7 linked regions of the Canis lupus familiaris genome follow. The protein of the gene in region 1 purifies or fractionates together with the protein of each later gene. This does not show direct contact. Links are inferred from orthologs where the notes say so. Each region holds a gene or a part of one and is shown on either strand. Other genes may lie near its edges. The genes, in order: LARP7, DHX57, SERBP1, KPNB1, HNRNPA1, YTHDC2 and NOP56.

Region 1 (3,500 bases):
CCAGAAGAAGCACCAAGAAAACCTGGTGTATTTCCTAAGACAGTAAAAAATAAGCCCATTCCTGTCCTTAGAGTATCAGGTAATTTAATTCAATATTAATACTTAAGCATATGTAGTTGAAGGAAAATGAAAACTAATGATAGCATCGTTACAGAAGAAAAGAAAAAGAAGAAGAAGAAGAAAGGCCGAATGAAGAAGGAAGACAGTATCCAGACCAAAGAGTTAAATACGGACACAGATAAGGAGAGTGTTGCTAAAATGAAAAGATCGAGGACCACGTCTGAGGGATCAGAGGTAGAAATAACTGAACCCCAAAAGCCGCCCTCAAAGAAAAAGAAAAAACGGGAAAGACAAGAAGTATCCAGCCTACCTATAGTTAGAACAGGAAAGAGAAAGAGAAGTATTTCTGAAGAAGCAGAATCCCCAACTCCCAGGTCAAAAGTAAAGAAAGTGACTCAGAAAGACATTAAAAAAGAAGATTTAGAAGTTTCCAAAGAAAACAAAGGTATCAACAACATTTATCTTGAGCTTGTATAATCAAAGTTTTCTTAAACTTATGTCTTTCCTTTCTGGCATTTAAGATTTAGAAGTCTCTACTGAAGAGGAAAAGGATACTGGAGATGTGAAAGATGGATCCCTTTTAAAAGCAAAAAGGAAGCATAAGAAAAAACACAAAGAGAGGCACAAGATGGGAGAAGAAGTTATACCATTAAGAGTCCTTTCAAAGTAGGTAGACAATAGAGTTCTGGTGTAGATGGACACCCTCCATCACCATTGCTAAAGTGCAATTCCAATTTGTATTGAACAGAGTTGCATATTAGCAACAGTCATGGCATGTAGCCAAGATCTGCATAAATTATGGGATTAGGATGACTGAGGATTAAAAAGGAAACCACCACACTAAAACATGGAAGCACTTATTTTTATCATGTCACAGCAAGTGCCTCCATGTTAAAGTAGAGGGCGTTCCTTATAGACTCAAAAAAATACAGCGTAAGTATACCAGACAGGTAGTTCGGTGAGGCAGTCTTAAATATTTATAAACTTCTAAAATGTAAAAGTAAGACTTACCATCACTAAAACATGGAAGCACTTACTTTTTGAGTTTCAAAGCAAGTACATCCACGTTTAAGTGGTGGGGAGCCCAGTCTTGGAAAAACGTAAATTGTGAAGATTCTTTAACCTGTAAAGTAAGCTTAGAAATTAAGTCGTGTCCACTTGGAGACACCTCCACTGAAACATGGAAGCACTTACTTTTGTTTTACACAGCAGGTACCCCCATGTTAAAGCAAAGGGGAATCCCTCGGGGCTCTAAAATTAACAAACTTGCCATATTACATTCGGAGGAATAATTTGGGTTCACTTCTACTAAAACATGGAAGCACTTACTATTTTGAAAGTCAAAGAAAGTACTTCCATGTTAAAGTTAAAGGGAGTCCAATCCACTTGAGGGGTGGAAGGCAAGTTAAAAGAAAAAAAAATTCCATACCTTTGGGAAGAAAGATTTTCTTAATTTTCCCCGAATAGTACTCTCCCAGCGTTTTGTCTTCCCCTTGAAGGTTAAAAGGCAAGGACTTCGGGCACTTGTATTTATACTATTCTTAACTGCTGAATTCCTTTTGCCTTTTTATCTCTGAGAATCATTACAAGAGGTTTTTGTTATTCTAATGTATCAGCTCTCAGGGAATGTACGATCCTGGGTGGGTCTGGATACTTTTTTTTTTTTTTTTTGAAGTATACAGATGTCAATAATAACAGCTAAGACCATTACCACAAGATATCCTCCTCTTTAAAAAAAAAAAAAAAAATCCCCTATCTGCTAGTTTGATGGCATAGATTAGAGTAACAATGAGTGCTCCTGTGGAGCCTGGAGAGGCATTGTGTTTCTATCTGGAGGACCTCTAGCTGTTTGAAGAAACATCTACATGTTAAATGTATGTAAATAAATAAATTGCTTCCATGGGGTGTTTTTTTCTTCTTAGAAATTCCTTTTGATTCGGGTAAATAATAAAGGATGTTATCTCCCAAATTGGAAGCAGTTTAACTAATAATCTTTAAATTATAATCTGCAATTATTCTCCCAGAGATGACTAATTGTCACTAGTTAATTAATTCAAAATTTTTATTTTCATAAATAAAAATATTTGAAACATACTCAAGAATTGAATTGCAAAATTTAAAACATTTAATCTAAATGTTAGGTCAGGGGAAACTTCCCTTTTCATATTTCCTGGATCGCTTAGAACTCTAGAAGTAATTTGAATGTGTGTGTTTAAAGAAGGAAAAGTTAGGAGCGCTTACAAGATACTGAATGTATGTATTTAGATATTTACTTTTGCTCATCTGTGTTCACTATTTCAAAAGTGCATTCTTTTCATTGCAGGAGCGAATGGATGGATTTGAAAAAAGAGTATTTAGCACTGCAAAAGGCCAGCATGGCTTCCTTAAAAAAAACGATATCCCAAATGAAATCAGAGTCAAAAATGGAAACAAATGGAGTACCTACTACATCTGAAATAAAAACTGAAAAAAGTAAACAGCACTATGATAGTTTTTGTAGCATTACATAATTAAATTTTCATTCTTCATCAGATTTAGTAATGAGTGCCTAGTTTATGAATTAAGCAAGTTTTGTAGTAACAAAAATTGTAATTTCTCATCCGTAACTTATCCTAATATATTAAGATATTATTTTGAATTCTTAAAAGTTGAAAGTATAATTTTTTCACATTTTAATCATGTTTATAGAATCTTTTTACTTATTTTGTGTCTATTAAGTTCAGTACTTTTTTATTTGATTAAGGGAAAGGGTCGGGGTTTGTTTTTTTAAGGTTTTACAAATGTTTTTCTAACAACACTTTGCAATTAGAGTGGTATAAGTTACGGTATTTTATTTCATGGTAATCTGCAATAAGCAGGACAGGCAACATAACTTACTAAATTATTTTACAGTTAATTTAAAATTAAGTTTGAATTAATTATTTAAATCAGCTTAAGTCTTCATTGTTATTCTAAAATGGGCCTACTATGTTAACTTATTAAGTGTAAGAGGCTTATTTCTGGCCTTTCCTTTTCAAATCAACAGCAAACAGTGAAGAGTGTTGTTCCCAGGAAAAGGTTAATGCAGCGGGACCACAGTTTGTGAGTGGCGTGATTGTGAAGATCATTAGCACTGAGCCTCTACCTGGCAGGAAACAAGTCAGGGTAATGCTTTTGTGTGTCAGGGGTAGTTGTTAACTCTTTCCTCTTTAAAATTTCCCTGTATGAAAATGTTTTGCATTATAGAAAACCAAGCAAATCAAATTAGAATTTATTCCTCTGTGGAAAAATACTTGTATGATTTGATTCCACAATAATTATTGTGTTTGATTTGAAGCAAAATCTGAAGTCTAAAATTGTACACTAGATCAGACTTGAGTACAGTTTAAACATCCTTTTATAGAACTGTACTTTTTTCTTATTTTTCAAGGTGCCCTTAATGGTTGTTGTGTAGTTGAATG
Region 2 (3,953 bases), on another chromosome or scaffold:
AACCAATTAGCAATCTAGGAAATGAATAACATAATTGGTGTAATGACTGAATAGCATAATGGATACAACGGAAAAGTAAATTGGTGAACTGGGATACGAAGTTGCAATTTTTTCCCAGAAAAAAAGCACAAAGAAAAAGACAGGTATCACCTGAGCAAAGCCTTTCTTATCTCCCCTCACCCTAGACTCATCTAGGCGTCTCCACACACTTAGAACCCTGTTAAAACAACGCTTTTGTGCTGGAATCCCCAATCACAATACCCAGCTCGCCCAGGTCAGGGATCAGGGATTAGTCAAATCTTTTTTTTCTCACTCTAGTGTCCAGTTTAGTACTTAGTGGTAGGTGCTTAGTACTTGTTCGTAGGAACTGAATGTCTAGTGAATGAATGGCACTTGGGAAGCAGGCATTAAGTGCTTACCAAGCAGTGCTTTATCATACAAAAAAAACCTGTTGTTTTTTTTTTAAGATTTTATTTATTTATTCATGAAAGACACAGAGAGAGAGGCAGAGACAGAAGCAGGCACCATGCAGAGAGCCCGACGTGGGACTCGATCCCAGGTCTCCAGGATCACACCCTGGGCTGAAGGCAGCGCTAAACTGCTGAGCCACCCAAGGATTCCCAAAAAAAACCTGTTTTCAAATGCCCTTAAATTGCTCCACATTTGAAACTTTGTAATGTTAGAGCGAGGGAGAACCTAAGAGATGTGGAGACCATCTGGCACCACAGAGGAAACTGAAACCCAGAGATGATGGCACTTGACTAAGATTTCACAACAGCCAGTCGATGGCCGAATCAGAGGTAGAATCCAGGTGTTCTGATCCCCAGGCCAGGCGGGTTCTCCGTGTGCCCCACGCCATGCCCAGTGTAGACGATCAGGAAGTAAGTCACAGCCACACCGGAGCCACCAGGGGCCACGCTGCGGCGTAAGGGGAGTTCTCCTTGGGGCAGCCCTGTGCCCTTCCGCGCTCGGGGCATTGGGAGGAGGGGCACTCACTCGACAGAGGTGTGTGGCAGAGATTTTCTTGACTCCGCGATTCCTCCGGGGCCGCCAGCTCTACCGCAATGAGGGAACCAAGGGCTAAGTGGGTGCGGAGCGCGCCCTGGTTGCCGGGGCGACGAGGCACCTCTCACCCGGAAGTGAATATGCGAGGGGCCGAAGCGGAGCCAATCAGAAGACAGCAGGTTGTGCTGCCGCAGAAGGGCCGCGGCGGAGCCGCTCCAGGTGAGGTCGCGGTGGGTGGCGAAGCCCTGGCGGGACCCCTCGCCTGTGGGCGCTGCCTCCGACCGCCGCCCCGGGAAGCAGGCTGCGAGCCCACCACGGCCTCCCGTTCCGCGGACCAGGGATGTGTGCCGCCGTGGTTGTCGGTGTGCGGAGCCGTCCCCCGCCTCCCTCCCCGGGGTGGTCGGGGTGTGAGGAGCGTCCGGCCGGGTGGATCCAGGCAGGCCGCCCGGGGCCGGTGGGTCTGCACCAGCAGGATCCCGGGTTGTCCGCGTCCCGGCTGGAGGGGTAAAGAGTTGCATTGGAGAGGCTCGGGTTTCCTTTCTTGTCCCTGGTCATCTGGGTCTGAGTGTTTGCTGGCAGAAAGGTACCAGGTGTGGGCATCTGCGTGGAGCTGGCTCTATGGGGCCAGAGGTTTGCTGGGAAGGGAGTGGGTGTGATCGGTTTTAAGTATCCCGTTTGGTGATTCTGCGCCTGGGGGCCTGTTTTGGGTGTGAAACAAAGGATCCTCTTTGAGCCCAACTTAGGTCCCTGTGTCCACGGTGAAGAAAAAGTAGTTGGAATCTTCCCAGGCTAAATGGAATAAAATAGTAGATTTATCCTTGTAGATGATACAACCCAATTCCCATTCCCTCGAGAACATCTGGAGTGAGTCGTATTGGATACAGCCAGCAAGTCTTCCTTCAACATTTTGAGAGCAGATCGCAGATCAGGTTGTGAAGGTGACTTTTTTTTTTTTTTTTTTTGGATGGGTGTGAGACAGGTTGTTGATCGTTGTTAGCCAAGCTGGCTGGGGCTTGCTCTGGTTGGCTACCCACTCTTTAAAAGTCAGAGCGCGGTAACTTCTTGCTTTTTTCCTAATGTATTTTACTTACACAAACTTACCTGGTCTGGGTGTTTTTTGAGCCGAAGTTCTGATCTTTCTGTCTGATTTGTATATCCTTTCCCTTTTTCTGAGTTCTAGAAATAATAAGTAATTATTGATGCACAACTTTACAGAATTCAGTTTGTCCTATTTTTTTGACCTCTTGTTACGCTTTTAATGACCCTACATTTTTGTGAGTATATATATACATATAAGCACCACTGTTTTTACAGAAGAATTTGAGGTAGTTGGGCTTCTTAGGATATTCTTATCTAAGAGATCTGGAGTCAGGAAACTTGCAATGAAGGGATTTAAATTTTTTTTTTTATTTAATCATGAGACACAGAGAGAGAGAGAGAGAGGCAGAGACACAGGCAGGGAAGAAGCCGGCTCTTTATAGCAGGCTGGTCCCTGGGATCCTGCTGGTCCAGACTCACCGGCCCCGGTCAGCCTGCCTGGATCCCACCTGGCCTATGCAGGACTAGATCCCAGATCCCAGAATCACAACCCAAGCCAAAGGCAGCCGCCCAAACACTGAGCCACCCAGGGTGTTACGGGATTTTAAATTTGGATTGGAAAAGTGTATTAATCATTTTTTATTTTCCATATTTTATTATATGTTGACACCTTAGGGGCCTGGCTCGCCAAGAAACTGCCCTTGGCAGGGATAGTTAACGGACCTTGACCTGTGAACATGCTTTTCATATGCAGACCGACCCCCAACGACCTACCTGCTTTAAGTAATTTTTGCCCACCAAGCCAATTTTTCCCTACCCCCAAATCAACCCAGGGTCAGGTCACAGGCAACCAGGACAGCCCCTATGCCCCAAGTCTGCTGGAATTATTTTAACTGGCCAATCCTAAACTGTTTATTCTGCCTGCCTTTCCTGTGGAAACCCTAAGAAGGACTATGGCTTTGCCTTCCCCTGGCTCCTTTGTGCCTCCTGACTGACACTTGGTGCTTCCTCCTGTGGCCTGGCCTGGCGTGGCGTGATGTACTTCTCTCCTTTCTGGCCAAACGGGGAATAACGTTACACTTTTCTTTTGGTGACATTGACCTCTTCTTGTCACTTTTATAAATTAAGTCCCAGGCACAAATCCAAAGAAGTCTGGTTTATCACTGAACTTTGCATTGACGATACAAGGTACATATTGATGGTGAGGAGGAGGAGATACGGTAGAAAGAATTTTGGCTGGGACACCCAGGTGGCTCAGGGCGTGGAGTCCCAGGATTGAGTCCCGCATTGGGCTCCCTGCATGGAGCCTGCTTCTCCCTCTGCCTGTGTCTCTGCCTCTCTCTCTGTGTTTCTCATGAATAAATAAATCTTAAAAAAAAAAAAAAAAAGAATTTTGGCTTTGATGTCAAACAGATTGTTTCAAACCCTGGCTTCAGACTTTGCTTCTACACATTAGGTGACATTAGACAAGTTATATAATTTACTTGTCCTCTAAGCTCCTCCTCTGTAACATATAGATGATAATATTTACTGTACTAGATTTTTAGAGGGTTACATGAAATAATCTTACCTTTCCCCTCAATGCAGACTGGTATATTCAACTACCTTCAGTATGTCTCCATGTAAGTATCTAATTGGCATCTCAAAGGCAACATATCCAATCTGCATTTGTGACGCCCTCCCCAGATCTTTTCCTCCCCAATATTCCAATTCTGAGCACATGACACCACTATTTACCCAGTTAACCTAGGCCAAAATTGTAGACATTTCTTTCTCATACTTTTCGTCTAATTCATCTACATTTAAAATACATTCAGAAAATCTGTGACCAGTTTTCAACTCTACTACTCCCACTCTAGTCCAAACCACCTTATTTTTCCTCTATTTGTTCTGCCTGAACAACTGCAATA
Region 3 (4,005 bases), on another chromosome or scaffold:
ATCCAAGCCAAACACACCCAAATGAACAATGGCTTCCTTCCTCACCCAATTTCACTATTATGCTTACAGAACCTAAAAAATTTACTAAATAATTTCACCCTATGACTGACATTTAAAAATTCAAGCTTCTCTTAACCTACTTGTATGTACTTGCAAACTCACTGGATTTTCAGTCGATTCCAGGCTTCGGAAAAAAAAAAAAAAAAATTTAAAAACGCCTTGGTCTACATTTTTAGCGATGACATTCTGTGGTGTCAGTTCTCAAATTCTTCAAATGGACAAAAGACAAGTGACAAAACTCCTATCATGTTAGATACTGTATCTAAGGTATGTCTAGCATTTGCCAGGACCTATATTCAAAGGCAAAGATCACATAATCAGGTAGCAATTTTTCCCACTGCACGAAGTGGACTTTTTACAAGTCTATCCTTCTCCAATGCCCCTGAACATCAACTGACAGGTAGTAGGGTCTGAAAAAAAATCTTTTTCATTCAACATTTCCCTTTTATTTTTAAGACTATGTTTTATGCAATTTAAGAGCAAGACTGCTATGTATTGCTGATCTAAGGAAGACGTTGATAGCTAATATGGAAGTTTTCCCAAGGAAAGAGTACTAAATGGTGAACTCCATTCTGGTTATAAACTCATATAATAATTCTCCACCTCTGTAATTTAAAATACTAGGTCCCAGGTTAAGCGCTTACCTCCTCCAAGATGGGCTTTATGATCAAAACAACTGAGGGGTTTAAACCAGGTTTCATGCTTTAAACATTCAAAATGGGTGAAACACATCTACCTGGTACACTTAAGATTTAAACATTAGGCTCAACGTTTTCAGGCACTTTTTTGGATTAATGAGATCAAGGAGGTAAACTTGAGCAAAAATAATAATTAACACAGGCCTGTGTCCCTTAACGCAGAAATTAAATAATTATTTAGCTGTGCTACAGGTTGCTTTAAAACTTAAGATGACTGAATAGATATTTGGTCTAAACGAAGTATACCCAGCTTTCCAACACTCCAAATTCTGCTTCTCCCCAACCTGTAATTTTGATACAAGAATTATTTTGTTTTATTCATCATAGGTTCTTCATTCCAAGCATCACAGGAGTTCTGTATTAAAAAAAAAAAAAAAAAAAAAAACCTTGAGCCAAAACCTAACACAATTGGTGATTCTGAAAATTAGTTGTATGCTACAAAATTCAAAACTAATGAGAAACAACTTCTTTCAGGAGCACGTGGCAGTAAAAGGTAATTTCAACTTTTAACATAAAAAGGCAACTTTTAAAGTTCCGGAGCTGATCGGGTACACGTTTTATCCTCCAACTGTTTTTGCTTTATTGTCCACACAGAAGGCAAACCAGCAATAAGAGAATGCAGAAATCAACCTCAAGACAACCCTGTGAAGTTTACAGTGACCTCTGGAAACAACTATTACCCGCCAATGAATCCCGACCATGCTTCACGCACACGTGGAGAAAAAAGCTACAGATTCAAAAGCGCTCTGCTGGGGCTAACGTTGTGACAGCCTCTGCACTCAATTCACCACGAGGCCCCGGCCGGGCCACCACACGAAATATTGAGTGAGGGGGTGGGATGGGGTGTCGGGGAGAGAGGACGAGCTCAGGATTTCCTGCAATAACCAGTCTTCGTTCAGAATTCCCGCCTCTGCTTACCACAGTGTAAGCACATTTGTCTTCTCAAAAGCTTAATTCGCTCCAGCAAGTTAGTTGTTCTTACGAGTTGAAGGGAGGAGAGGGGACTACACGGCACATGGGGCACCTGAAGCCGTAGCTCACTCCACGGAACCCAGAAGTAGGTCAGGTGCACTCGGACCCCCGGCGTCTCGCTGGGGGGTACTCCGCGCCCTCGTGGGACAAGATGGCAGGAGAGGAGCCAAGCGCACCTCAAAGCAGCACGCCGAGGGCGAGCTCCGAGTGGGAAGGGGCCGTGGACCCCACGCCTGCCCGTAACTGCAAATGCTTCAGTCAGTGGCCAGCTCGCCCAGACCTCAGACCTCGGTCGCCGCGCCTGCCCGCCAAGGAATCCGGCGGGAAGGCAACAGCCTCCCAGGACAGCAGCGCGCTCGAGCAGCAGCAGCTTATCTCCGGGGCACGCTCCTCCGCTCAGAAACTGAGGCGGGAAGGGGGTGACTCCAGGAGCCTCGCAGGTGGCTTCAACTTGGGGCTACCACGCTCCCGGCACCTTCGCGGGACCTGGCTTTTGTAGCGCGAGGAGAAACGGGAGGCAATCGGCGGCCAAGCCTCCCGCGGGCCCTCGGAACTCCGAAAGCAAGTGGTAGCCGCAAGTCCCCCTCGCTCCTTCCCTCCATCCCGGTCTCCCCCACCTTCCACCACAGCTTTACCTTCTTTCTTAAGCGCCACGGGCGGCTGCGTCTCCTCTTTCTTGTCAACCACGCCAACGCTGGGGGGCAGCGGGTTCTTGCGGTCTTTCTGGGACTCTTTACGCAGCTGTTTGCCTGCCGCGCTGGAGTTGGTCTGGGCTGCGGCCTGAGCTGCGCTCTTGGCCCCAGGGCCCCCAACGCCGCCCCCGCCGGCTTCTTTTTTCTTGTTCTCTGCTGCCTTCAACACCTCAAAGGGGTCCGATTCGTCGTCAAATAACTGGTCGAATCGGTTGGTGACCACGCAGCCGAAGCCTTCCTGTAAGTGCCCAGGCATGATGGTGGCTCGGCGGCGCGTTCCTCCACGGATTGCAGCGGGCCGCGCCGAGCCAAGAGCGCCTGCTTCAGCTCTTCCCACAAGATGGCCGGGCCGAGAGAGGGGGGCCGGCTTCTCTTCCGGCGCCAGGCACACATCCGGGAGCGGCCAGCGCCGCACGGCACTATGGGGTATGTAGGCCAGAGTCGCTTCTCCTGAGGCGGCCCCCGGCGCCAAGACTACAATTCCCAGGATGCGTGGCGTGACAATTCTTCGCGCGCGCCTAAGAGGCGGGACCTCACGGAGGGAGTGGAGCGTGCTAGCAGAGGGAGTGGAAGCGCGGTGGTGGGCGGAGTCCTGCCACCTGCTCCAGCCACCCTTAAACTCTCTGGGTCTTGAGCTACACCGAAAACAGGAAAACGTGACGGCGTTTTTCGCTCGCGAAAGTTCTCTGTCTCTGGTTTTACTCACCCCGTCTCCAGTCCAGGACTAACTTTCCTCACCTCCGGGGGTGGGTCAAGGTGACTCCAGATTTTACAAACTTCTAGTGCTAGGGTGTTGCTGAGGTACCCCGCGGGCCTCGCGGAGGCAGGTCCCGATCCGTTCCAAGTCCCTAGCTGCCCAGGTGCTGGAGTCGCCCTCTTGCACCGCCAATAATGAATCGAGACTCTTCTGTTCAATGTGAGGAGGAATACGGTTTCTCTCGCGGGGACACGAACTGGGTTAGCGCAATTAATCAGAGACGAGTTGAACTGTCTCACAGGGCGGTGTTGCGCGCCTTTCCTGAGTGTTGCGATGGGTGCATTCATCGCAGCTAACTCCTAACAGTGCGGCACTAACTAGACAGAGGGCAAGCCTCGAAAAGCACTGTTTGTAGGAACACTTTCTGAAGTCAATCCAGTTGTCCATTAGCGTCCGGGAAGCCAAGGATTAGGTGTTAGTAAAATGTGCTCAAGAAACGTTTTAAAGCATCCGAGTGTGTAAGGGTGCCGAGGGATGCGATGAGGGTAGGGAAAATATGTCAGCAAATTAATTGCCATTACTAAAAGTATTGATATTAGTTGGGAATATTAAGGTCCAGTAAGGCAATAGATGATGTCAGTGCATATTCAAACATATTTGGTAAAACTCTTACTAACTTACCCATGTTACCACAAGCTAGGGAGTGGGGTAGGACTATCCTTAGCAATTTTTATCTTATGTATAGATCCCTGGTTTCCTCAAACAGATCTTTATGACTATCAAGTGTTATTACAATAAGAATACTTACAGATAAGCCCCATTTAGAGGAATTGTGTGGCTATGAGTTTCTGAGGTTTACTTGTGCTCCTCAGAGAATTTTACCTAT
Region 4 (3,500 bases), on another chromosome or scaffold:
AAAGTCCAGGTAGTCTCTGTATTGTCCCCAGCTGTGAAACTAAAAGTAGCCCATGAAAAGCAGGATATTAGATGCCTCAACCTAGCACCCTGAAAAAACGTTTTTTTCCCTTTTTTTTTTTTAAACCACTGAGCTCTTGTCATCATCATTCCCAGTGAATATTGTCATTTCCGTCCCTTCTTAATATCTTGAAGAGTCTTCACTCTTTTTCTGCTGTATGGATTGTTAAAATGAACTCGGGGTGCCTAGGTGCCTCCTCAGTTGGTTAAGCATCTGAGTCTTGATCTCAGGGTTTTTAAGTTCAAGCCTGCGATGGGTTCTACACTGTGCATGGGGCCTACTTAACTTACTTGAGGAGATAGATGTGTTTTTTTCTTCAGCTCTAGGCTCAAGTGATAAAGGACCAGTGGCCAAATAAAAATAATGGCCTTATCCTGCAGGTGGCCTTTTCTGTTTCGGAGATCATTTCCTTGACTCTTTGCAGGTTTGTTTGGCAGCTGTGGGCTTAGTAGGAGACTTATGCCGAGCTCTGCAGTCCAACATCTTACCTTTCTGTGATGAGGTGATGCAGCTCCTGCTGGAAAACCTGGGGGTGAGTGTCTACACACATAATCTAATTTACTAGCGTTTGAAGAAATTGGAAAAGATGATTAAAAACGAAGTGAGGGCACAGACGGGTTGCCAGGATGTTGGCCTTAGCCTCATGAAGAAAATTATTCATTTTCATTTTCACAATGTGATTCTACAAAGTAAGGTTGTAAAATTAACTAAAGGAAGCCATGAGCAATACGTGGAACAGGGTGGGCAGGAAGGCCAGTAAAATATATGTGTAGTTCCTCTGTCCAGAGATAGCCACTGTTAATTTTTGGGTATGTCCTTAAGGTCTGTACAGGTATGTCCTTAAGGTCTGTACAGTGTATTAGTAGTTTTATTATTTTAAAAATGTTTCTTTAACCTTTAGACAGAATATTTTGGCTTTAATTAATTTGATTTCCCTCTTTTTCTCCCCTGCCCCCGGTCAGAATGAAAATGTCCACAGGTCTGTGAAACCACAGATTCTGTCAGTGTTTGGTGATATTGCTCTTGCTATTGGTGGAGAGTTTAAAAAATATCTAGAGGTTGTCTTGAATACTCTTCAGCAGGCCTCCCAAGCCCAGGTGGACAAGGTGAGCTTAAAGTTGTCTTTTATGTCCAGCCCTGATGGGATGAATGGGATTTCTGACAATCCTACAACTAAAGGCTCTTGGTATGATGTCTTTTACAGTCAGACTATGACATGGTGGACTACCTGAATGAGCTAAGAGAAGGCTGCTTGGAGGCCTATACCGGAATTGTCCAGGGATTGAAGGGAGACCAGGAAAACGTGCACCGTTGAGTATAAAACCCAGTGGACTTAGTCCAGAGTTCATGTAGCCAAATGGGCTGTGTCTTTGGTTCTGTAGCTTATGAACTAGCACCTATTGCTTAGAAGAAGGGGAGAAGGAGAAGGAACAGTACCCTCATGAAGAAAGTAGCTTTGGAAGAGTATCCAAAGATATAGTCTTTGCTATTTCAGCCCCGCTTCCTCTACTTTGTCTTACCTTTCTTGAGCACCATAAGGAATGGGATCCAGCAAGGCTATTGGTGCTAGTCATATCAACATGAGCCCTGAGTGGCAGTTGTTGAGCGTATACACACCACACATACACACTTCCAGTGCAATTGAATTAAAAGATTAAGAGAGCACATTTCCTCTCCCACATGATGTTTCTGTTATTGATTGGGGAAATATTTGTCCTTTACGTCTTTTGATGTCATGGGCTTAGAGGAGAGGTTCCATTTGTTATTTCTATGCTTATAAGAGGAGTATCTGCCTCTTTTGTTAGCGTGAAGGATGACCTCTTGATTTGAGGAATAGTTTGATATAACTATATGCAACTAATTCTCCAGCCTAAACCTGCCTAATCGGGGTAATATATTTGGAAATTTTGAAATGGGGTATATAGTCCTACCAAAGGTGGGGCAGCTTCATCAGACCTTTTCTTTTCTATTATAGCGGATGTCATGCTGGTACAACCCAGAGTAGAATTTATTCTGTCTTTCATTGACCACATTGCTGGAGATGAGGATCATACAGACGGAGTAGTAGCTTGTGCTGCTGGACTGATAGGGTAGGTTATATCCTATTTCCAACAGCTGAATAGAACTTCTCGTGGAAAATGAGAAGACCTGTGGTAAAGAACTTTTGAGAGTAGCCTAAATGGTAATTACCCACTTATTTGGTATGGCTATTTCTTTAATAGAATCCATGGTGTCCTGTTTCAAGTTCTGACAGGTGATCATTCATTCTAGACCTTAGCTCTAGTCTCATCCCAGACCCTCCAGATTTCTAACTTCTCTTCGGTAAAGTCTGTAAAGTGAATTCTCAGAGGTATAGAAGTAGCATCAGATGTGTGTCCATCCCATATTCTGAGATTGGTCAACAGATTGCCTATGTTTAGCCTCCCCTATTGAAAGTTTCTGAGATATCATTAGAAGAAAGAACCACAAATTAGTTGTGGACCTCAGGGTAAGTCATCCTGTCTCTTTAGACCTCCTTTTTCACGTCTTTAGAGATCAGGTGCTTGACTTTCCCTAAAATTTCTTCCAACTTTAAAAGCTAGGCGAATCCTAGGAGACCCACAATTAGCTTAGCACTGGCTCAAAACAGGAAAGCAGGATGAGGCCAGGAGCTCATTTAGGTGTGTTTATTTTGCACAGGGACTTGTGTACAGCATTTGGAAAGGATGTACTGAAATTAGTAGAAGCTAGGCCAATGATCCATGAACTGTTAACAGAAGGACGGAGATCGAAGACTAACAAAGCAAAAACCCTTGCTACATGGGCAACAAAAGAACTGAGGAAACTGAAGAACCAAGCTTGGTAAGAGCTTGTCCCCACTGCCCTCTTTCTTCCACTTTCTAGGGGAGGAGGCACAGTTTCTTCAGACTGTTCCAACAAGGGATGCCTTTCTCTTGGTGTTTTGTTTTGTACTCTCTCCCATATAAGTGCTTTTGAGCCAAGCCTTAGTTCCTTAGGCTTGTACTAGTGGAGGGGTTGGGCATCCTCAGTATTTCCTTGAGCCAAGTGTTTGATTCCTCTTGGTGATGAAGAACAGAACTTATGTAACTAGAAGTCAGTGAAGTCCCCAACTGATTTTGGGCCCTAATAAAGTTACTGGTAATGGCATTTTCCCAGAATTCTCTTTTCTACTCTATTCCCTTCCTCCTGCTCTTTCCTTTTTTTTTTTTTTACTGCAATGCTTTTAGGCATTGTGTGGCTCTGCAGAAGATGTCCCAAGTCAAGAGTTGTCTGACCCCTACTTTTATATGTAGTTTTAATTTATTCTCCTCTCACATGCTCATCCTCTTACTCCATAGATCTCAGTAAAACACTATTTTGAGTTTTATCTTTTTAGTGTCCCTGCCACCTTCTAATGTAAGTGCTAATGAGAGCAGGTAGTTGGCACATAGGAATACAAG
Region 5 (4,218 bases), on another chromosome or scaffold:
ACCACTACCACCGCCATAGCCGCCTCCGCCTCCTCCGTTGTTATAGCTGTCATAGCTGCCACTCCCGCCATAGCCACTGCCCTGGTTTCCATAACCCTGTCCACCACTTCCATAGCCTCTGCTTCCTCCAGAGTAACCAGGGCCGCCTCCTCCATAACCACCTACAAGAATACAATTCTTCTCAATAAGACAAAAGTATTTCACAGTCAAAACCTGTGCAAGTGTAATGCCTAAAAGCCTGCTCACAGCATGCTGTTATCAGAGCTGTTTATCATGCACTAGTTTAGCTCTACTAACCTAGTCTAAAGGTTGCCAAACGAAACTCCACCTATATATTCCTTAAAATAAACTTACCGTCATTACCAAATCCGTTATAGCCATCCCCACTGCCACCATATCCACCACCACCTCGACTGCCACCGAAGCCACCTGAAAGAAAGTAGAGTTTTAAACCACCATGAAGTGTACAGAGTATACGTGTTCTATGTTGTTTTAAAGTAGAATTCTATAAAGATACTTCCTGTGCTACAAAAATGATCCCAATGTTGATGATTTAACTTTCTGGTTAGTAAAAAGCCAGATCTACACTTGGATAAAATTTAAGCCAGGAGTTAATCTGCTGCAGAGGAAAAAGGGACCTGGGGATAATCAAAGTATAAATTTATTGTTAACTTTGAGTGGTAAACTTACCTCGACCACTGAAGTTCCCTCCACGACCAAAGTTGTCATTCCCACCAAAACCACCTCCACGACCACCACCAAAGTTTCCAGAACCACTTCGGCCTTAAAACACAAAAGTTTTAAATGTTACATTATACGGATTGGAGAATCACTCAGTTAATTAATCCTCACGTGCAAGGATTAACTGAACAAACGCACCTCTTTGGCTGGACGAAGCACTAGCCATCTCTTGCTTCGATAGGGCTTTCCTTACTTCACAGTTGTGGCCATTCACAGTATGGTATTTTTGAACTAAAAAAAAAAAAAAAATTCCAAGAGAACATGACCTCAGGCTTTAGAACGTAACATGGATTTCAGAAGCCGTAGCAAAGAGCATGCCCGACACTTACTGACAATCTTGTCTACAGAGTCGTGGTCATCAAAGGTCACAAAAGCGAAACCTCTCTTTTTGCCACTGCCTCGGTCAGTCATGATCTCAATCACTTCGATTTTCCCATACTGTTCAAAATAATCTCTTAGATGATGTTCTTCAGTGTCTTCTTTAATGCCACCGACAAAAATCTTTTTCACAGTTAAGTGGGCACCGGGTCTTTGAGAATCCTATTGTTGGGGGGGGGGACGGGACGGACACAATTCCGTTATTTACACCGACCAAGCCACCCCTAACCGCGAGGTCCCCTTGGCGGCCCGCTTCTGCGTCTGCCCAGGAAAGAATAAACCCTCACTCACTTCTCGGGAGACAGCCCTCTTTGGTTCCACGACTCTTCCGTCCACCTTGTGCGGCCGGGCGTTCATGGCCGCGTCCACCTCCTCCACGGTGGCGTACGTGACGAACCCAAAGCCTCTGGAGCGCTTGGTGTTGGGGTCTCTCATTACCTGAAAGGTGAGCTCCCTGAATACTGAGGAGAACCCCGGAACTTCTCACGCTGAGTTACAAATTAAAAAAAGAAAAAGAAAAAAAAAAAAAAAAAGAAAAGCGCGCCCCCTCCCCCCCCCCCCCGCCCGCCCACGAGGCCCTCCGGCTCCCCGGGGCCGCCACACGTGCATCTCCTCCCGGGAGCGCCTCCGCGGCTGGGACCACCCCTTCCGGCGCCGGCCGGCTCTCCGCCCCAGTCCCGTTAACCGCCGTCGGAGCGGCGGAAGCCACCTCGCTCCCGGGCCCTCCGTCTCCGGCACGTCTTACCACACAGTCCGTAAGCGTCCCCCATTGCTCAAAATGGCTCCTCAGACTCTCATCGGTCGTTTCGAAGCTCAAACCTCCGATGAAGAGTTTCCGCAGCTGCTCGGGCTCTTTGGGAGACTAGGAGCGGGGACACAGCTCGTTACGTGGCGCGCCCAACGCCCAGCCCCGTCCCGTTGGGAGGAAAATCCTAGACAGCAGCGTTACAAGGCACGTATTGTTCCCTCGGGTTACGGGAGGCCACGTGCTTCTCCCCTCGGGGGGGACCGAGCGGTGGGGGCTGGGAGGCCGCGGGCGCATGCGCCCCGACTCTCCCTCCGACGCACGCGCAACAAAAGGACTCGGCTGGACGGACGCCGAAGCGGCGGGGAACTACGGCTGCTCCGCAAGAAACTCGCTCCCGGAGACACGATCAAACAAAACCCGTCGAATGCGCCCGCGAGTTCTGCCGGGAGGGCGCAGCCCGGCGCCACAGCCAAGCGCTGCAGGACGGCGGCCTCATGGCGACGACGAGGACAAAATGGCGACCTCAACTTCGGGAGGGGAAGGCCCTGGCGGCCCCCGAAGGGCTGCCGAACGGGCTGGCGCGAGCGGCCACGCCAGGCCGCGTCCTACCGGCCCCAGGGAAGGAGTGAGGAAGGAAACTAGGCGGGAGACAGCGTGTTACTCACCTCTGACTTAGACATGACGGCGGTGGGAGGGGAGACTTTAACGATGCTTACTCGGCGGCGTCCAGGGGCAGAAAGGAGTAATCTAACGAACGTATCTGCCAGCCTACCTTCGGCCTCGCTTTTTTATCCCGCCTCCTCGCTTTAGGCATTGGTAGACTCCGCCCCTGAGCGTCTCTGATTGGATGTTTGCGATAGCCTCCCCCTGCTATTGGTCTATAGCCCCGCACTGCTGCGCAACGTCATCCGCTTGGGCGTTCTACGCAGGCTCCGCCCCTTCAGGTCTATTGGTTCCCGGGTAATATTATTCCTAATTACTGTGATTGGCTCGTCAACCAGTCATTCATATTTGAACGAACCTAAGGTATTTAAATGAATTTTCAATCCATTCCGCCCCGAAATTATGTTCCGCTCAGTTGGCGAAGCACGGTAAATGCTAATATATTACGAACGAGGTTATCAGGTGATTTTTTTTTCTTTTTTTTTTTTTTTGCAAACGACCGCCCGCCGGGCGCATGTGTAGTAAAATGGCGAGTTTACGCAGGCGCACTAACCAGTTCCGCTCGGCGCTTGGAGCACGTGAAATGGCGGGCGGGAGACGGCGGCGACTCTACGGCGCCTGCGTCGTGGCGGGAGTCGCGCCCCGCTCTGCGCAGGCGTAATGGGCGGAGAAAGGGTCCGGTCGCAGGATTGGCCGCGCAGGCGCAGGGAAGGATCCGTTTTGGCGGGCGGTTGGCGTTGCGCAGAAGGCGGCGGCGGCGGCGTCCCGTGGTCCGGCCTCGCCACAGAGGAACAGGGGAGGCGTTGGCGCGAGTGGCCGGTCTCGATTCCGGGTAAGCGGCGGATCGTCTCGCCTACTCATACGAGGTGTTGAACTGACTCCAATTGGGCCCGTTATTGTGTGAAATGAATGGAGCGCGGGGTGGGGGCTCGTAAAGGGGGAGCGCTGGGTTCAGCCAACCAATGGACGGCGGGGGCGGGATGTCTGCCGGCCGGGAGTGCCGTGGGGCTCCGCGGCCCGGAGTCTGACTGGCTTGCGCGCGGGCCAATCGGGTCCGCCTTTGCCGCCGACGGACGGGCCCTCGGGCCCTCGGGACGTGGGGGCGGGCCCTGCGCCCTGAGCAGCGTCCCGCCGAGCCAATGGGCGCCGAGCGCGCCGTAGGTTGGGCTCCTCGGAGGCGGCGGGCGGACTCCGAGGGGGAGGCCCCGCTGTGGAGCCGGCGGCGGGCGGCCTGCGGACGGCGCCCGGGCGGGTCGCCCAGTCAGCGGTGCGGAAGCGGGAGGCCTCGCTGCGGGCTGTGGAGGAGCGGGCGGGAGGGCGCGGGGGCGCGGGGGCGCGCGTTCTCTCCACAGTGGCCGCCGGCGCCCGGCGCTCGGGCCTTCACCCCACACGCGTTTCCGGTAGGGAGACCCTGACTCTGTGGCGTGTCGCTTCGGCTTCGGCATAACCGCTCCACGCGCTCGCGCACGCGCACGCGCACACGCACCCCGGGGCTTCTGGTCGCCCCGCGCGTGGAGGCTCCCAGGGGAGCTCGGCCGGTCGTCGGGAACCCGCTTGGCCGGCAGCGTCCGCGCGCATCGGAACAAGAGCCGCTGCCGTCGCGGACAGGCGCCGACCCACGTGTGCGCGGAACGCCGCGGCCTTCCCCGGACCGGTGGCGGATGCTCGTGAGCCCGCAGGAGAAGTGT
Region 6 (4,246 bases), on another chromosome or scaffold:
GCACTAAACCTCTGAACCATCCGGGCTGCCCTATTATCTCTCTTCTTAACCTAAACCCTGCTAAGCTGAAATTTTATCTTTCTTTCCCTCCTCACTGGAAATTCTGCTCCCCACAGAACATTTTGGCAATGTCTAAAGACATTTTTGGTTTTGCAGGTGGAGGTACTACTGGGTAAGGTCAGATATGCTACAATACACAAGACAGCCCTCCACAATAATTATCCAGTTCAAAATGTTAATAGTGCCAATATTAAGAAACCTTGCTATGTATCAATCCTAGCACCCTTATTCCCAAAATGAAATTGTTCCACATAATTTTAGAGTTCTTCAATTTGGATGGTTCAAATGACTTTTTTCCGTTAGGGGTCAGTGGCCCTCAAAAAAACATATGCTGTTTCTTCCTGGTCCATTGTATTTAGCCATTTCTAATTATCAGATTCTTGAGCTGGTAAGAAAGAAAACAATGATTATGTATTCTACAGTTACCACTATAGTACAGTAACATTAAAAGAAATACTTCTGTAGATAATCATACTTATTATCTTTAGTCTATCTATCCTTTTTAAAAAAGGAGATTTAGTTTCTATGAAAAAAGAAAACATTTCCTCAAGCAAGCAATTTCAACTTTTAAACTATTTCCTTGCATTTAAAAATTTTTTTTACCCCTAAGGAAAAACAAAAAAGGGCAGGATACCAGGAAAAGGAAAGAGCTGAGTTTGGTATAGATACTAATCAATTTATCTACAAACAATATAATTAAGGACATGAATCTAAAACAATAACTCCTTAAATGGAGTGAGAAACATTTCTCTCTTTTTTTGGTAAATAATTCTTTTTAAATAAGAAAAGCTATCAGCTTACCCTTTGCTTTTAGAGACCAAACCAAGAGACTGACTCAATCGATGAATAAAGGCTCTTTCAGTGCTGGTCAAAGAAGAAGGAAATTCCATTTCTACATTAAAAAAAAAAAAAAAAATGGGAATATACAATTATCTTTCAAGGTGCCTCAATATACAAACATAGATATAAAAAATGAAAAAAAATCTTGATTTCTGCTCCCCTCATGATCTTAGGGTTGTGAGATCCAGCCCCAAGTAGGGTTTCTTGATGGGCATAGAGCCTGCTTAAGATTCTCTCCCTCTCTCCCTGTCTACCCCTCCCCCCCACCTGAGAAACTCCACTCTGGGAAAAATGGGTTGCAGAAGGGGAGGGTGTTGGGGGATAGGTAACTGGGTGAGGGCACTAAAGAGGGCACTTGATGGGATGAGCACTGGGTGTTATACTATATGTTGGCAAATTACATTTAAATAAAATATGGGGTACCTGGGTGGCTCAGTGGTTGAGCATCTGCCTTTGGCTCAGGCCCTGATCCTGGGGTCCTGGGATCAAGTCCCACATCAGGGTTCCTGTGCCGAGCCTGAGGCTTTCTCCCTCTGCCTAAGCCTCTGCCTCTCTATCTGTGTCTCTTATGAATAAATAAAATCTTTAAAAAAAATAAATTTAAATAAAAATTTTAAAAAGCTCTAAAAAAAAGAAAATCATATAAGCATATAATCAAATTTATATTTTGTATGAAAAGCAGATATTATTTCAATAAAATTGAATGTCTGCCAGAGTTACCATATTAATAAAAATTAAATCTAAACGTGATAGAGGATTCTAATGTTCACCAAAGATTACTCCTCTTATTTGTGCTGAAATCTTCTTTTGGTATGATGACAGACTGATGAATGTGTTTTACTATTTTAATTCAGTCCTTAACTTGCATCATTAACAAACGGTTCATCTCCTCCCGTGCTGAGGTATGCTCAAGCATTATGAATGCTCAACATCACACTGTCTTTGCTTGCAAAACTGCACAGAATTCATATTTCACTATCTTAGACTGGATTTGTTGTTACATATTAGTGAGGCTCTGTTTAATCTAAGTTCACTCCGTCCAAGTCACTGCCTGTTCTGGGCTTGAAGAGTCCCCTACTTAGGCAAGAAAATGAATGGGCACTGGTCCCCGCGGGTTGGCTGAGGGTTCTGCACGGCACGACGCAAGACAAGGAGCCGACCCTTAAGAGGCGTGAAAGACGTTTAATCTACCAAAACCAGTTTTTACCAATATCTAAAAACTGTGGCTTAGACGCCCCAAGCTGCCTCCAGCCCTCTCTAGGGAAAGAACCGCCTCCTGCAAGGGGGCAGCCCGACGCTTCCCACCTTCTCAGGAGTGCCCGGCAAGCGCCTCAAGCCTGCGGAGCCGCCTGACGCCGCGCATCCCAGGGAGCGCTCCCCCGCGTAGCGCCTCCCGCCCACCCGCCGCGGAGGCCGGCTGCAGTGGGCCGGGGGGGCAGGGGGCGCCCAGGTCTTCCCTCCCCCACCCCCTGAGGCAGCCCCTTCACACGCCGGGTCGCGGCTTCGCGGGAGGCGGAGCAGCCGGCGGGCCCGGTCGGGAACCTCACCTCTCTGGTCCCCGTACCGGAAGCGCTCCAGAGCGATATTGACCGCGATCTTCACCTCCTCGTCTATACGAATGTCCTTCAGCCCCTTAGCCCGGCCCCCGCCCCCCGGGCCGCACGGAGCTGGGCCGCCCCCGCCGCCACCAGGAGCCGGCGGCCGCGGGGAGACGCTGCTCGGCCTGGACATGGCCCTGAGGAGTTCTCCCCGCGGCGGAGCGGCCAGGCCTGCGCGCTGGCGGTCAATGACAGGGACAGAGGGCCGCTGCCGGGCCCGGCCCGCTCCGCTCCGCAGGCAGCCTGCTCTGGGCCAGGGTCACCAGAGAGCCCCCGTCACAGCAGCCGAGGAGGCGGCGGCGCCACTCGTCCCGGCGGAGCGGAGAGCGCGGGCGTGATGACGTCACGGGGGCCGCGGGCGCCGGTGACCTCAGCGCGTCGGCGGCCCCTCGCCGCCCGGCCGAAGCCGGCCCCTGCTGTGCTTCCCTCACCCGGCGCCGGGCCAATTCTGTCGGTCCTCTCCGGTCTCCGCGTCCTCCGCCCACACCCCGCCGCACGGAGGGGATCCCGTGCGTCCTTTTATTCAGTCACTCATTCTTTCCTTAAATCCTTCGTTACTTCACGCCGTGAGCCGGTGCGGGCTTCCGCTCTGTGCCCGGCAGGCGCTGGGCTGCACCCCGGGTACAGGAGGGGACCGGACAGACAGACGTGCCTCCTGCCCTCACCGAGCTCACATTCTAGCCGGGGTAGAGTTGCTAGGTTTAGCACACAGAAATGCAGGATGCCCCGTTTCTTTGAATTTCAAAAGAGGAGTCGTTTTTTAGTATTTCCCATGCAATATTCCGGAACACATATAGTTTAAAAAAAAAAAAAAAAGTTATTCTACCCGAAATGCAATTTTAACAGAGCGCCTGTGTTTTAGGTGGCCGCCCTAAAGGAGAATGACAAACAATAAACAATTGTGCTTAAATGATGTCAAATGATGATTATAAGGGGCACCTGGTGGCTCAGGTCTTGATCCTGGGGCCCTGGGATAGAATCCCACATCGAGCTCCCTGCAGGGGGCCGGCTTCTCCCTCTGCCTGTGTCTCTGCCTATCTCATGAATATATATAATATTGTTTTAAATGATAGTCGTAAGTGCTATAGGAGATGATGAAGAAGGAAAATGGAACTCCTGTTTTGAAGGTCAAAGGAGGTTGTGAGAATGTGCAATTGCTTGCACACAACGCCACTAAGAGAAACCTGATCCCAGCCACCCTAACTGCTTCCACTCTGGTTTTCCCATGGTCCATTCTGCAGAGAGCAGCCAGAGTGAACCTGGCTTATATTTTATATTATAAAGAAAATATAAATTTTATATTTAAAATATAAACCAGGTAGGATGACACTCCTACATGAAGCGCTCCTGTAGCTCCCCCATTGCAACTACTACAAGCCCACAATTTTTTACCATGACTCAAAACCCTGCCTGAGGGCAGCCCCGGTGGCACAGCGGTTTAGCGCCGCCTGCAGCCCAGGGCGTGATCCCGGAGACCCTGGAGACCCTAAATCGAGTCCCACGTCAGGCTCTCTGCTTGGAGCCTGCTTCTGTCTCTGCCTCTCTCTCTCTCTGTGTGTCTCTATGAATAAATAAATAAAATATCTTTAAAAAAAAAAAAAAACTTGCCTGAAATGGCCTCTGCCCTATTTCCGTGAATCTCATCTCTCACCATCTCATCCTCATTTTCAGGGCTCAAATGCACTACTTTCTGTCACTTGAACACATCAAGTTCATTACCATCAGAGGAACTTTACATTTACATAGTT
Region 7 (4,003 bases), on another chromosome or scaffold:
TTATGTTCCCCACAACGCACCGCTTCCCCAATTAGGGCTGAGAGGCTGGGGGCTACTTGGCTCATCTTGGACCGCAGGTAAGTATGCAGGCTCTGGCGGTACTCTGACAAAGACACCACACGACTGGAGAAGCTCTCGATGTTTATCAGGTCGATGGCCGATATGTCCATGCCTAAGGGACACCTAGTGTGAATGCAGGACCAGATATCCACAGCCCCAAATTTATTTTGGTCACCAGGCTATACTGACCCATGGAGGATCGCGAGGCATCCAGAATAGCCTTAGCCTTGGCCCCATCCATTGTCAGCTCTTCCAGCTTCTCAAGCTTCTCCTCATTCAGCTCCCTTCGGTTCCCAATGAACTGAGCAAGGCGGCAGTATGTAGCATTATCGTTGATGATCTTCACCAGCTCAGGAAAGTGATACCCATACCACTCCCTGCAGAGAGCCACAATCACTCCTTGCTCAGCGACTAGATCTCAAAGCTACAACCTCAGCCCTCTATCTATTCTTTACCCAGAGAAAAGGAATCAAGTACAATTCAAAACCTCAACTCCGTGTCCTCCCATTCACAATACAGACCAGGCAAAGAGCCTAGGCTGGGGTGTATATGGGTGGATTTACTCTACCTCCTCTTTCTGTACAGCCAGTGTAAGAACACAGCCTGTGGTAAGCACTGGGAGGCTCAGCCCCACCCCACAGGAAGTGGTCCTGATTTCAGCATGTGAAATTAGCTACACCACAGGCCAAAGACCCTATTTTCAAGGGTCACTTGGGCACTTTACCTGACACGCATGGAAAAAGTATTAATGTCCTTATCCAGCTGGTCCAGGAGGCTGATGGACTGGATAATCATATTGTCCACCCGGTTCACATTAAACTTAACTTTGGCACGAGAATAGCTGTGTCCCAGCCCCAACTGGGCTTTACAAGCAGACAGATCTGTCAGACCTTTCACCAGGTTGTGGAAGTGCAGACGAACCCCTGGAAGAGGACAAGTCAGTGAGCAAGGGAAGGCTCTAAGCCAGTTACGGCGCCCATGGGCACCAAGCCAAGCAGAAGGGCTTCCTAGAAGCAACCTTATGCACCCTGGTTAAGTGACTAGATCCCCCCTCAGAGATGTCAAGAATGTTGTGAATGTTAATAGGTGGTCCCACCTCGCAGGATCTCAGCTATCACGCCTCCAGTCTGGCAGTTGTACCCTAACTCTTCTTGTATAGCAGCACCGATCTTGGGGTCTCCAACCCCCAGGAGTACTTTCTTCTTTTTGGATGGCAGGTGAGTCTCCAAGAGCAGGCGGAGGTCCTCATGAACGACACCTCAAGGCAAAGAATAGAGCTCCCACTAACATGCTGAAATCATAAAAGGGATCCTGTCCCCTTAACTGCTAATTAAATGACAGACTGATCCTACATTTGTCCCACAGAGCATGCTGAGTTCCTTCTTTGCTTTAGGCTTTGCTCAGAGACATGGAGACATCAGTGATTGCACTCAGGGGATTGACAGACTCAAGTCATCACTGCAAAGCCTGCATCAACTATGGGAGGAATAGGACTCAGGTCTGATAGCATGAGTGTGAAATACAGAATTGAAACCTTAAACCCGGAGAAACTATAGAGGTTAAGTATTTAGTATTTGATTCGCCTTTTGGAACTGAACTTATTTTTCTTGCCTTTTCCAATCACTTCAATAATAACCAAAGAACCACCTTTAGCATTAAAGCACACCTACCAGATTTCACTTAATCATTTATCGCTGTCAGGACCACAAAGAAAGCCTCTATCCTGGAATATACACTTTAAACTTTTAGCATACCATATTCTCCAGACCTTGGGTTCTGTTTTAAACTACATCCTGTACACATCAAATACTGCCCAACACGTATCAGATTTGTAAGAAATCAGCTGAGGAAAGGAAAACGGGATCATGAACTCCCTATGAGAATAAGAGCAGCAGCTACTAACCCTGCGGTCATCTCCCTCAAATACCTACCTGGTGGTGGTCGACTCACCTTCGGACACAGCGTTGGCATTTTCCAAGGCAACCTGGGACGAGGCGAAGGGACAAAAGGCCACGAGGCGAACGATGTTGTGGAACTTGCCCAAGTTGAGCACGCACTCCTCCACCTTCGGGGAGAAGAGAGCGTGAATGGCTTTCCTCCCTCGCTCTTGCCTCTAGGGCGCAGTAAAGCAGCGGTTCTCCGTAAAGGAGCCGATTACAGGCCCTAAATCCCGGGGTGCTGGCTTCTACATGCTCCCAACGCGACTGTAGGCACGGATGCAGCGGAGGACCCCCGGCTCCCGGGCTTTCCGGCCCAGCGCACCCCCCAAAGCGCGGCCGGCCACGTGGGAGCGCGCGGTGCATGCTGGGGCCCGGCGGCCCGGGGGGCTGCGGCGCGGCGGCGAGCCCACCGCTTCCACCCACCTGCGGCAGCAGCAGGCTGATCTCCTCCACCTCCTTGAGCGCCAGCAGCGCGTAGCCGACCGCGTGCTCGAACAGCACGTGCAGGAGAACCTGGAACGGAGCCGGGCGCGAGCGTCAGCACGGTCTCCGCGTTCGCCCGCCCCGGCTCCCAGCGCAGGCCCCGGCCCCGGCCCCGGCCCCGGCCCCCGCCCCGACTCGGCCCCAACCTCGGCCTTCGTCTCCCCCGCGCCCACAACCACTCCTCACCATGGCGCCCGCTCCCGGCCCGGCTCGCAATGCGGCGAGCGGGGTCTGGCGCGCGGACCCGGGCTCCGGAGGCCACGCCCCCGAGCCGCCGGCCAATCAGAGGCCGGGGACGATACCTTTGCGGGACTTCGGAGGGGTCCGCGGCGGTGGTGTCGCCCGGAGGGCGGGAGGGCCAGCGCGGGCGCGCGGGCGTCTTCCGCCTTCTGCCGCGGCGCCGCTCCGCGCGGTTGCCGGGGACGCGCGGCCTGGGCCCGGCCCCGCGAGGCCGCAAAGCGGGTCGGGAAGGCGCTTCTCCGGAGAACGCCCCGGCCCCTCGGGTCCGCCTCGCGGGGATCCGGGTGGCGGAGCTCCCTTAGGAGGAGCCGGGCGGGAGGCCGTTCCCCCTTGCGCGGCGCCGGTGGCCGGGGGTCCGGGGGTCCGGGGCCTTCCCCCCCACCCCGGGGCCCCGCCGTCTCCGCTTCCCGCTCGGGGGCCACGCTATTCCCGCGGGCGGAAGCGGGGCCTGTGGCGCGTGTGCGCAGACCCGGTGAAAGGAGACCCACGGCTCCTCGTGTCCCGCCTCTTGCCTTTCGGGTGCATTTTGTTTATTATTTCAAAAATGCTTATTACAGGCGATAAAATAGAAAAGGGTGACCATCTCACCTGCTCCCAGGTCGGTTTCTAGGTCCCCCACGGAAGCAGGACCGGTCCCTTGGGAAGGGCCACGTGTTGCTCGCCCCGCCCGCCCGCCCGCCCGCGGAACCCGCAGTAGCTCCAAGCGCTCTCAGGTGCTTCCAGGTCCTTGAGGGCGGGGTTTGGGCATTCTGGCGACTAATTTGAAATTACCTTTACTTTAGTAAGTAATATAAGAATGATAAACCCCACACTTGTTTATCCTAAAGTGGTAAATTAAAAAATTTTTTTGAGGGGATTTTTATTCCCTATATTCCCATAACTTAAAGCGCATTTACACACTTAATGCATTTTCTTCTTAAGCAATTCATTTCCTTGGTAAACAAAATCCAAATAGTGAGCTCCCTCAAAGATGCAGTGAATCTTAAAAATCTCAGTATTGCTTAAAACGTGATTGAATTCTGCTACATACATTTACATATGATCATGAGTCTGAATCCATTACTGTCTCTCTTTTTTTTCATTACTGTCTCATTTTAAGGTGGAATTGCAAAACTAATGTTACATACATCAGTGTGTTAAGTTCTTTTAAATTATAGATACCAAGTTAAGCAGATGATTCCAAAATATAATGGAAAATAGTAATGCTATGACTGATTTTTTCATTATTTCTGTACTTAACCCTAAATAATCCTGGGGTTACAGGTGCTTATCTACTAAAG

Evidence for each region.
Region 2: the proteins of LARP7 (region 1) and DHX57 purify together in Homo sapiens (affinity purification with mass spectrometry; 3 studies listed by BioGRID and IntAct, with this or other methods). This does not show direct contact. The link is inferred for Canis lupus familiaris from reciprocal best matches to the Homo sapiens genes LARP7 and DHX57.
Region 3: the proteins of LARP7 (region 1) and SERBP1 purify together in Homo sapiens (affinity purification with mass spectrometry; 3 studies listed by BioGRID). This does not show direct contact. The link is inferred for Canis lupus familiaris from reciprocal best matches to the Homo sapiens genes LARP7 and SERBP1.
Region 4: the proteins of LARP7 (region 1) and KPNB1 purify together in Homo sapiens (affinity purification with mass spectrometry; 3 studies listed by BioGRID and IntAct, with this or other methods). This does not show direct contact. The link is inferred for Canis lupus familiaris from reciprocal best matches to the Homo sapiens genes LARP7 and KPNB1.
Region 5: the proteins of LARP7 (region 1) and HNRNPA1 purify together in Homo sapiens (affinity purification with mass spectrometry; 4 studies listed by BioGRID). This does not show direct contact. The link is inferred for Canis lupus familiaris from reciprocal best matches to the Homo sapiens genes LARP7 and HNRNPA1.
Region 6: the proteins of LARP7 (region 1) and YTHDC2 purify together in Homo sapiens (affinity purification with mass spectrometry; 3 studies listed by BioGRID and IntAct, with this or other methods). This does not show direct contact. The link is inferred for Canis lupus familiaris from reciprocal best matches to the Homo sapiens genes LARP7 and YTHDC2.
Region 7: the proteins of LARP7 (region 1) and NOP56 purify together in Homo sapiens (affinity purification with mass spectrometry; 3 studies listed by BioGRID and IntAct, with this or other methods). This does not show direct contact. The link is inferred for Canis lupus familiaris from reciprocal best matches to the Homo sapiens genes LARP7 and NOP56.

The regions. Positions count from the first base shown.
Region 1 is NC_049253.1:7,458,554-7,462,053, reverse strand, and holds part of LARP7 (la-related protein 7), read left to right. Parts: coding exon 1-79; intron 80-154; coding exon 155-505; intron 506-581; coding exon 582-726; intron 727-765; exon of another isoform or gene 766-833; intron 834-893; exon of another isoform or gene 894-963; intron 964-1,070; exon of another isoform or gene 1,071-1,139; intron 1,140-1,227; exon of another isoform or gene 1,228-1,295; intron 1,296-1,361; exon of another isoform or gene 1,362-1,436; intron 1,437-2,383; coding exon 2,384-2,532; intron 2,533-3,085; coding exon 3,086-3,204; intron 3,205-3,500. UniProt on the Homo sapiens protein: RNA-binding protein that specifically binds distinct small nuclear RNA (snRNAs) and regulates their processing and function.
Region 2 is NC_049238.1:31,071,694-31,075,646, reverse strand, and holds the start of DHX57 (putative ATP-dependent RNA helicase DHX57), read left to right. Parts: upstream 1-1,153; 5' UTR 1,154-1,224; intron 1,225-1,732; exon of another isoform or gene 1,733-1,943; intron 1,944-3,953. UniProt on the Homo sapiens protein: Probable ATP-binding RNA helicase.
Region 3 is NC_049226.1:43,506,323-43,510,327, reverse strand, and holds the start of SERBP1 (plasminogen activator inhibitor 1 RNA-binding protein), read right to left. Parts: upstream 2,801-4,005; 5' UTR 2,679-2,800; coding exon 2,366-2,678; intron 808-2,365; exon of another isoform or gene 793-807; coding exon of another isoform or gene 705-792; intron 1-704. UniProt on the Homo sapiens protein: Ribosome-binding protein that promotes ribosome hibernation, a process during which ribosomes are stabilized in an inactive state and preserved from proteasomal degradation.
Region 4 is NC_049230.1:23,975,271-23,978,770, forward strand, and holds part of KPNB1 (importin subunit beta-1), read left to right. Parts: intron 1-484; coding exon 485-592; intron 593-1,022; coding exon 1,023-1,166; intron 1,167-1,264; coding exon 1,265-1,370; intron 1,371-2,035; coding exon 2,036-2,150; intron 2,151-2,739; coding exon 2,740-2,901; intron 2,902-3,500.
Region 5 is NC_049248.1:45,637,728-45,641,945, reverse strand, and holds the start of HNRNPA1 (heterogeneous nuclear ribonucleoprotein A1), read right to left. Parts: upstream 2,801-4,218; 5' UTR 2,548-2,800; coding exon 2,533-2,547; intron 1,982-2,532; coding exon 1,865-1,981; intron 1,558-1,864; coding exon 1,411-1,557; intron 1,282-1,410; coding exon 1,071-1,281; intron 973-1,070; coding exon 880-972; intron 784-879; coding exon 691-783; intron 430-690; coding exon 355-429; intron 162-354; coding exon 3-161; intron 1-2. UniProt on the Homo sapiens protein: Involved in the packaging of pre-mRNA into hnRNP particles, transport of poly(A) mRNA from the nucleus to the cytoplasm and modulation of splice site selection.
Region 6 is NC_049232.1:3,802,006-3,806,251, reverse strand, and holds the start of YTHDC2 (3'-5' RNA helicase YTHDC2), read right to left. Parts: upstream 2,801-4,246; 5' UTR 2,632-2,800; coding exon 2,448-2,631; intron 953-2,447; coding exon 862-952; intron 1-861. UniProt on the Homo sapiens protein: 3'-5' RNA helicase that plays a key role in the male and female germline by promoting transition from mitotic to meiotic divisions in stem cells.
Region 7 is NC_049245.1:19,017,361-19,021,363, forward strand, and holds the start of NOP56 (nucleolar protein 56), read right to left. Parts: upstream 2,801-4,003; 5' UTR 2,673-2,800; coding exon 2,670-2,672; intron 2,514-2,669; coding exon 2,424-2,513; intron 2,126-2,423; coding exon 2,011-2,125; intron 1,525-2,010; exon of another isoform or gene 1,457-1,524; intron 1,319-1,456; coding exon 1,157-1,318; intron 984-1,156; coding exon 785-983; intron 686-784; exon of another isoform or gene 555-685; intron 438-554; coding exon 250-437; intron 173-249; coding exon 21-172; intron 1-20. UniProt on the Homo sapiens protein: Involved in the early to middle stages of 60S ribosomal subunit biogenesis. Required for the biogenesis of box C/D snoRNAs such U3, U8 and U14 snoRNAs. Part of the small subunit (SSU) processome, first precursor of the small eukaryotic ribosomal subunit.